Cricetulus griseus: one gene and its partner. The protein of the gene in region 1 purifies or fractionates together with the protein of each later gene. This does not show direct contact. Links are inferred from orthologs where the notes say so. Each region holds a gene or a part of one and is shown in the gene's direction. Other genes may lie near its edges.

Evidence for each region. Proteins that work in one complex are often made in the same cells at the same time.
Region 2: the proteins of Exosc9 (region 1) and Dis3l purify together in Homo sapiens (affinity purification with mass spectrometry; 3 studies listed by BioGRID and IntAct, with this or other methods). This does not show direct contact. The link is inferred for Cricetulus griseus from reciprocal best matches to the Homo sapiens genes EXOSC9 and DIS3L.

What each region holds. Positions count from the first base shown.
Region 1 is NW_023276806.1:113,103,017-113,107,856, reverse strand, and holds the end of Exosc9 (exosome complex component RRP45), read left to right. Parts: intron 1-735; coding exon 736-882; intron 883-1,404; coding exon 1,405-1,583; intron 1,584-2,860; exon of another isoform or gene 2,861-3,186; coding exon 3,187-3,265; exon of another isoform or gene 3,266-3,411; coding exon 3,412-3,493; 3' UTR 3,494-3,668; downstream 3,669-4,840. Other genes in the region: Ccna2 (cyclin-A2), read right to left, coding at 4,222-4,270, 4,520-4,653. UniProt on the Homo sapiens protein: Non-catalytic component of the RNA exosome complex which has 3'->5' exoribonuclease activity and participates in a multitude of cellular RNA processing and degradation events.
Region 2 is NC_048597.1:175,929,490-175,934,329, reverse strand, and holds part of Dis3l (DIS3-like exonuclease 1), read left to right. Parts: intron 1-1,780; coding exon 1,781-2,028; intron 2,029-2,515; coding exon 2,516-2,608; intron 2,609-4,840. UniProt on the Homo sapiens protein: Catalytic component of the RNA exosome complex which has 3'->5' exoribonuclease activity and participates in a multitude of cellular RNA processing and degradation events.

The sequences.
Region 1 (4,840 bases):
GAAGGAATAAAAAGGCTGGTTCATAGCTCCTCTTCTTGTTACCTCCAGCAATAAGTATCTAGTACTTCAGTGTACTTAACTTGTCCTGTGGAGGCTGGTGCCGTCTGTCTTGATAGCAGACTTGAAGCTTAAGGAATGTACTTCAGGTACCTATCACATATGCAGCAGAGGTTCAGTAATTATGGTGACATCTGTCTTGATAACTATGGTAGTATATCCTAGTTTGATTTCTGGTGCTGTGATAAAAACACACACCAAAAGCAACTTAAGGGAGGAAAGGATTTATTTGGCTTGTACTTCTAGATCACATTCACCAGGAACCTGGAGGCAGGTAGGCCTCCTTGATAGTTCATATACCTGTAATCAGGGAACTAACTCAGAGCTGAGGGAGTACAGCAGAAACCAGAGGAAGGCTGATTGCTGGCTCACAGGCTCATGCTTAACTACATTTCTGATATGGACAGGACCACCTGCCCAGGGAATGGTGCCCTTCATAGAAGGCTGAGCCCTTGGTTCATCAATTAACAATTAACTCCTCCACAGATAGGCTAGTCTGGTCTGATTAGGGCCTCCTTTCTCAAGTGACTTTGGGCTGTGTCAAGTTTACCGTTAAAGCTAATGAGAACAACTGAAGTTAAGCAAGTCTGTTTCTTATCTACCAAAGCCAAAATAGTAATTTTTTTCTCTCTTTTCTTACTGTCATCTCCAAATACCATTACAAAAACCCACCTACAGGAAAGAAGGTGGAAAGTTTGGCTTTGCAGAGTCTATAGCAAATCAAAGGATCACAGCATTTAAAATGGAGAAGGCCTCTGTTGATACCTCCAACATAGAGGAGAAAGCAGAAGAAATTATTGCTGAAGCTGAACCTCCTCCAGAAGTGTATCTTTATTGGGTGGCTCTTTATAGCAACAAGATGTATAACATTTTTTTTGTTTGTTTTTATCAAGGCTATAATGTGCATATTGAAATTTGTTTTGGGGGAAATCATACTTCTAGCTTCTCTCAGTTAAAAAACATACATTTTTCTATCTTAAGAACCAACTTCGAGCTGGGGGATGTAGCTCATTGGTATTGCACTTTTCTAGCTGTGTATAAGGCACTGGGTTCCATTCCAGTACTGTGAGAAAATACAAAATTCCAGCATTCATTTCCCTTTCAGAAACTACTTCAATACTGATAGCATGGCAAAGATCCTTACATGGTATTACATTATCTTGAAATCATTCATTACCAAATTACTATGAGGTTGATTATTGGTGATGTCCAATTATGTTATCCATCTGTAGTATATTTTATTTTTATTCCTAAGAATTTGTGGAATATATGAAGCAGTCTTAAAAGAAAATAGCTCATGAGATAGCAGTGTTTTGGATGGATATTCAGTTTTCTTAACTTGTTAAGTGTTTCTAAACCTGTGCTGTGGACTCCTGGAACTGCTCAGATTGGAGATGGAATAGAAAACTCCTGGGGTGACCTTGAAGATTCTGAGAAGGAAGAGGAGGAAGGTGGCATTGATGAAGCTGTTATTCTTGATGATACAAAGATGGACACTGGAGGAGTTTCTGATATTGGAAATCAAGGTAGGTGATGCTTTTGGCTTTTAATGTGTACTATAGAGACAGCTACAGACATAAACTATATATAAGTTATAGATACAAACTATAGATAAAACTTGTATATATGTAAAGAGGTATCTGTATGGAGTTTGTAGATCATATATAGGGAAATTTCCTGTCTTGGAAGGCTATTTTGGGGATTTAGTGGTATGCTTTGGCGTGATAGTGATTTATATATTTTTCCAAGACAGGGTTTCTCCATGGAGCTTTGGAGCCTGTCCTAGAACTAGACCATGCTGGTGTCAACTCAGAGATCCACTTGCCTCTCTGCCTCCTGAGTGCTGGGATTAAAGGCATGTGCCACCACTGCCTGTCGATAATAGTGATATTTTTAAACAATTAAAAAAATTACATCTGGCTAGGTGTGACATACACCTTTAATCTCAGCACTGGGGAAGACACAGGCAGGAGGATATTTGTTCTACATAGAGAGTTTTGGGACACCAAAAACTAGAGATCTTGTCTCAGAAAAACAAGAATATATCCATGGCACTGAAGGGTTTTCCTTAAGATCTCACTCCTGCAAGCTACTTTGTGTAGGTTGACTCAAACAACAAAAAGCTCATGATGTGGGCCAGAGTTTGGATCCCAGTACTCACACTGGATGGTTCACAACCCTCTGTATTCCAGCTCCAAGGGAACCAACACATCTTTTGGTCTGTGGAGACCAGCACACATGTATACTTACACAGATGCACACAAAATTGGCCACATTGGTAGCAGTGACTATCTTTAGGTTAGAAGTCCCTTGAAGGTCTAACTTGCTGTGGTCCAAAAGCCATAAAAAGAAATGTGTGCCAGGGTATGCATATAGATGTCAGAGAACTTGCTGGAGTTCCAGGAAGTTGCGACCTGCCATATGTAGGTGCTGGCAACTGAACTCAGGTTCTTTACCAGAGAAGTATGCACTCTGAACTAATGCATATTCTACTTGTCTTCATGAAAGAGAATCATTGCTTATAGACTTGGTTTTTGTTTTGACAGGGGAACAATGTTGGTTTAATTAGGTTAATGGGTGAGTTTTATACCATTCATTGTATCCAGTTGTCTTAACCATCAATAATGCTGTTACCTCACTATCACTGGCTAGTGTCTTTACACTTGTGTATATATCTATTTGCCTAAGATTTAGTAAGGCTCATGAACAGCTAAGATAACAAGGATGATGATGGTAGAGTTTTTCTAAAGCATGTGAATAAAGAATGCTGAGACAAGAATACACAGCCAAAATAGGCAAATGATTAATTTGCATGCTTTATTTACATATATATATATATAATTAATATTCAAGACAAAAATGGGCAAACAAAAGTTCTCTACATTTTTCATGGTTAGCCCTGGTAGTAATAAACTAGACCGTCCTGGCCTACGTGAGTCCTCTTAAAAAAAAAAAAAACAAAAACAAAAACTACAAAAAACATGTATTTTTTACAAAATTTTTGGAAAGAGTATGTTGTATATGCTGCCTCCAGGCAGCAGAGCTTGAGCTGTGTGTGCATGGAAATGGGAGCATTCAGACTAATGATACTAATAAGTAGTTACTTTTACTTTCGGTATTTTCTCCAAGGTGCCCCTATAGTGCTGTCAGATAGCGAAGAAGAAGAAATGATCATTTTGGAACCAGACAAGAACCCAAAGAAAATAAGGTAACAGATTTCTGGTTACTTTCAAATATACATAAAAATAGGACTTATGTCTGTAAAACAGGATGCCTTTGCCTTTAAAGTTCCAGCGATCCAGTCCAGGATTCAGTGGACATACACTGAGTTGTGGTATTACTTTATTTTCGCAGAGCTCAGACCACCAATGCAAAAGAAAAGGCACCAAGTAAAAGTCAAGTGAAAAGGAGGAAAAAGAAGAGAACTGCTAATTAAAGCTAAAATGATATTTTTGTGTGTATATATATATAAAACTACTAAAAGGATATTTATTCAGTGCTTTAACAGCACTGGGTATTTTTTTATTTGAAAATCCATTATAAGAGCTGAACTGTTTCATAAATTGTTTTGTCTGTAACATTATGCTTTGAATAAACTTTCTGTACAACTTTTCTGTTGCACAAAATCTTCCTAATCCATGTAAAATCTTATTTGTAAAAGTAGAACTGAATGAGTCTGGGGAGTCTCTGCTACACTGAAGAATCTAGTTTTTGCTTATTTTATGACCAAGTCAGCAATTGGTTCAGTTGCTTAGAATAACCAATGTCAGAATTTGAAGATCAGTTTCCCTGAAATATTTCAGTTTTAGGAAGCTTTTTCTACCCCCACTGAACAATAAACCAAGTTAGCCTTTCTAAGTGACATTATCAGTCTTATTTTTATCTCAAATTAACTTTGACTTGCAAAGATTTCCAAATCAATTTATTCTTATTATCCTGACAGTTGGCAGCACCAAATGTTAACAAACCAATTAAAATTAGCCAAATATCTAAGATAGACACATGTACAAAAGATATACAAATTAAAACCATTTAAAAAGCAATGGATACCATAATTTGTCCGTGGCTATACCATCTACATTGTGAAATGATTTGTGAGATTAAAACCCAAGACAAAACTGTACATTGTGAACTCCCATTTTAAACAAAGGTAGTCTTTCATTCTTACACATTTAGTGTCTCTGGTGGGTTGAGAAGAGAAACACCATGGTATCTGTTGAGCAGAAAAAAAATTTTTTTTTAGTAAATATTCATTGGGGAGATCACAGAACAGTTTATATGCCCCAGCCTAGGGAAATGCTATTTCTATTTGATTAGACTCAAAACGTGTGTTACCTTACCCATACCCTACCAGATGAAAGGGGGAAATGCCAGGTACAATAGCTTCCTAACACATTTACCTTACTGAGGCAGCTGTGGCAGATTACCATACCCTTTAAATGAATGAGAATCTGATTCTTACTTTGAATGTTTGTACTTTTCCCTTATTGACTGTTGAGCATGCTGTGCTGCTCTGAGGTAGGTCTGGTGAAGGTCCATGAGACAAGGTTTAAGACTTTCCAGGGTATATCCAGTCTTTTGTACCAATGACTCAGGCTACAGAGAAAAGACAACCATTGAGTTTTTAGTAACAGCACAGGGCATTGACCAATGAATGCACTTACAGTTGACCTAAGGTTGGCATTCATCTTTAACATGTTCAAGCTCATGCCATCTTTTATTTTGACTGTTTGACTACTTCCCCTGCTAGCAGCAGGCAGTTGGCCCAGATTCTTGAAGCAGA
Region 2 (4,840 bases), on another chromosome or scaffold:
CTCACACTTCTCCCCCTTCTCCTTCTCCTTCTCTTCCTCCTCCTGGTTTGTTTTTTTTGTTTTTGTTTTGGTTTTTTTGGGTTTGTTTGTTTTGTTTTTGAGACAAGGTCATGCTTTGTAGCCGTAGCTGGACTGGGACTCATAGAGATCCACCTGCCTCTACCTGCAGAGTGCTGGGTTTAAAGGTGTGTGCCACCACACCCACCTACATCTCTTTTATTACAGTCCCAGACAAGCTCCGCTCCCCCGACAGATGGATGGATCAAAAAGTCAGGCTCATTATGAATGGTTTTTGAAACCTTTACACAAAACAAAAGTCCAATGAACATACACTACCAGTGATTCCATCAATTTATGGTCTTTCACAATCTCAGAAATCTCCTTTATTATTCTCTCATGACTGTATCCATTGTGCACACATATTCTATTCTGCCTTCTTCATTTAAAATTGTTTCTATATATTGACATAGCCTACTTATTTTTAGTAGTTAAAACAAATTACTGAAATTAATTTACCCTATTTTGCTTAAACATTCCTCAATTGTTGGACATTGGTAGTGTTTAATTTTTCAGTATTAGGGAAAGAAATATTGCTTGAAACATTTTTTTTAATCAGTGTTGCCTTATTTATTCTTTTTGATCATATCCTTGGAATGTAATCCTTAAAGTTAAATTACTAAGTCAAAGTGCATAAAAAATTTAAATAGGTTTGTTATATATTGGCAGATAGTTTTCCAGAAAAACATTGCCCCAGTGTGAATTACCGTCCACAGTAGATGGGTGTGCGTATTTCCATTATAGCTTCTGACATAACAGGGGCTACAATAAGAAAATATTTCAACTGTTTTACATTATTAAATTTAGACTATTTTACATGATTAAATTTTTATGTTTAACATTAGTTTTTGGAAATTATTTGTTCACTCACTAGGCACCTCTTAGTGAAAATGTTAGAATAAAATGAAGTTTGAATTAGACCTCACAAGACTAGAATTCTCTCCTTTAGCCTACTTAGCTGCAAACTGATGACTTAGAGGGGGAAATGCTCCAGATTGGTCTTGTTTAAATTATCTTTAAGGAAAAAGCTTTTATTTGGGGGGGGCATATAGATTTTTTTTTCTATTCAGGGCTTGGCTTGAATTAAAAAAGGGTGTCTAAGGAAACAGGACATATTGGCACATCAATGTCACCTATTCAGTCTTGTTCTAGCCCCATAACTAATGACACTGCCAGAAGTCATGGGACATTTCCAATAGACCATGAGGTCTTCAATACTGTCTTTCCTGATGACTCCTGACTTCCCAGAGGCACCTGATGAACAGTTATTAATTAAAAGAAAGCAAATAAGGCTGGAAAGATACGTATCCAGTAACGTGCTTATGCAGTCATGAGGATCTGAGTTCCAGGGCATGGTGACACATGCTCGCAATAATCTTAGCTCTGGGAAAGGAGACAGAAAGAGATCCTTAGGGTTTGATGGCCAGCCAGTCTAACTTTGTTGGAGCACTGCAGGCCAGTGAACAGTGACTCTGTCACAGGTAGACAAGTGTCTTCATGAATGCCTGATGCCCAAAGAAACCAAAGGACATCAGAACCCTGGGGATTGGGATTACAGACAGTTGTGAGCTGCCAGGTGGGGGCTAAGAATTGAACCTGGGTCCTCTGGAAGAGTAGCCAGTGCTCTTAACCACCGAGCCATGTCATCAGCCCCTCTCAAAAGAGTGGGATTTAGAGAACCTTATAATGCATGGATTTCTGACTATTTTGGTCTCTGGTGCAGATGTGTGAGATGCCAGTGAACACACCAGAAAACCCTTGGAAGGTGAGTCCCAAAGAAGAGAGAGAGCGGAAGGACCTGAGGAACACCCACCTTGTGTTCAGCATCGACCCCAAGGGCTGTGAAGATGTGGATGACACGCTCTCAGTCAGAACCTTGAATAACGGCAACCTGGAGCTCGGGGTCCATATCGCCGATGTCACACACTTTGTGGCCCCCAACTCTTACATTGACATCGAAGCTAGAACGAGGTAACCCTATTGGATGTCAGCAGTGGTGTGCGTGTTTATATCTGTGCTGTTTTCAGATGGTCAAGATCTCCTGTTTGGGCAGTTCTGAAAATCTCTTCTGGATTTTCCTGAAGTCCCCCACTTCAGGAAAACAGTACCTTGACCAATGTGTGTCCTTTCTTAACCTTTTACCCATCACTTTCTCTTATCTTAAAAATGAGTGGATTTTCACATGTAATACGGTATTCTATACCTCCCATTTTTCTCATACAACCAAGATTCATGTCACTTTTACTTTCTACATCAGTGGAAGAAATATTCAGCCAAAGCAGTGTGACTTGGTCAAGTGGGCACATGGGAGCTATTTAATTAGACAGCCGCTGACTTTATGGGAGCAGTAGCCCCCGGGGAATCTAACCCCGGTCTTGGCTGTTTACCTCCTGCAGCCCACACTGTCAGCAGTTCTGCTGGCTGCTGAAGGTCAGTTACCCCACTTGTGTCATTCCAGGGCCACCACTTACTATCTAGCGGATCGCCGCTATGACATGCTGCCCTCCATCCTCAGCGCAGATCTCTGCTCCCTCCTGGGAGGCGTTGACAGGTGAGTCTGATTTTCACCTTCAGGGCTGCCGCTGCCCTCCTGCTCTGTTTCTTCCAGTGTGCTCTCCCTACCACTCCACACCCCTACCGCTGCTTTCCTGGCTCCTCCCTCTGCTCCCTGCTTACTTCTTCCCTTCCACATATGGTTTCAGGGACCTTTCTTTTTCCAGCCTCCTCCTTTCCTTCTGTTCTGATGTTAGATTTCTGAAGTAGGCCACAGGCTGAGGAAAATGCACTACACTCTCTAGCAGATGCTGCTCTTTAGAAGGCACTTGAGCTTAGGGAGTTTGTGTTTTATCAGTGAATGCACAATTAGATAGTCCAAAATTAGTAAGTTCCCAAAGATAGAATTATTCCTATTATTTTCTCCTCAGGTACTGATTTTGGGAATATTTTCTATAGTTAAAACACATAAATATGGATGTGTAATTTTTCATTTTTATTTTCTAAGATTTTTTCTTTATTATATATAGTGTTCTGCCTGCATGTATGCCCGAACGCCTGAAGAGGGCACCAGATCTCATTGTAGATGGTTGTGAGCCACAACGTGGTTGCTGGGAATTAAACTCTGGAAGAGAGTAGCCAGTGACCTCTGAGCCATCAGTCCAGTACCCCATAATTTTTATTTTTATGAAAATACTAGCATACCGCCGGGCATTGGTGGTGCACACCTCAATCCCAGCTCTCAGGAGTCAGAGGCAGGAGGATCTCTGTGAGCTGAGGCCAGCCTGGTCTACAGAGCAAGTGCCAGGATAGGCTCCAAAGCTACACAGAGAAACCCTGTCTTGAAAAAACAAAACAAAAAAAGAGCAGATTTCCATTCTAGGAGTATTGTCCTTCCTGAGCAGAGTGCTTCTGTTTCTAACAAATATAGCCAGGCGATGGTGGTACACACCTTTAATCCCAGCACTCGGGAGGCAGAGGCAGGCAGAGCTCTGTGAGGCAGGCTCCAAAGCTACACAGAGAAAGCCTGTCTCAGAAAGAAAGAAAGAAAGAAAAAAAGAAAAGAAAGAAAGAAAGAAAGAATATATATATATGTGTGTGTGTGTATTATAAATGTAGAAGAGAATATGTGTGTGTGTGTGTGTGTGTGTGTGTGTGTGTGTGTGCTGTTAATATATAATTTATACACACATGCTATTCAGCACTTAAAATTTCACTTTTCCTTCTTTTTTTTTTTTTTTGAGACAAGGTGTCAGACATCCAATTCTCAAATGCAAGCCAAGGGTGACCTTCTGATTCTCCTGCCTCTCCCTATGCCCTAACCAACATGCCTGTCTTTTTCAGGGTTGGTAATCCAGCCCAGAACTTCATACAAGCTAAGCAAAGCACTCTAGCAACTGAGCTACATCCATAACCCTTCAGTACCTTTTTAAAAATGTTAATTTATTTTATTTGTGTCTTTAGTGTTATGTGGCATCTATGTATGTGCACCATGTATGTCTATAGTGCTTGCCGAAGCCAGAAGAGGACAACAGATCCCCTAGAACTGAAGTTACACACAGTTGAGAGCCACCATGTCAGTTCTGGGGACTGAACGTAGGTCCTCTGGAAGAGGCAGCGTTCTTAACACTGAGACATGAGACACCTTGCCATCGCTAGTACTCTCTCTAGGTACTTAAATATATCTGAAGGAGAAATTCCTAGAAACAGAGCTTATGTCAAGGTGCATGCATTTGTGTTTAGATCTATACAATCAGATTGTCCTCCAGAGACATTAAAGCAATCTGTTTCCACAGCAGTAGATGCAAGAGCTTGTTTTCCCACAGCCTAACCCATATACTATGTTGTATCCTTTCATCTAAGTCAGTTTGTTAAATAAGTAGTATCTTGATTTTAATTTGTATTTTTCTACTATGTGTGAAGGTAAACCTTTTTTTGGTTAAAGAATATTTATGTATTCTTTCCTGTGAACTACTTCATATTCCTTATTCATTTTCATTTGGGTTTATGATTTATTATTGGTTCATAAAAACTCTTTACATATTGGGGAAATCAGCCCCTTTGCATATATTATAAATATATAGATTTTTTAATAAAATGCTTTGGTGGCAGAGTAGTTCTTTGCTAATGAGCTTTTTGCTAATTAACCTATCATCAAGATTGATACCAAGCTCCCTGTCATCCTGTAGGATTTAAAGGCTTTCCTTTAATTTCCTGGGGCACTAAACAGACTTAATTCAATCAGTGTCAAGCTATTCTAATCAAAATGGAGAACTCTAAGGTTTTTCAT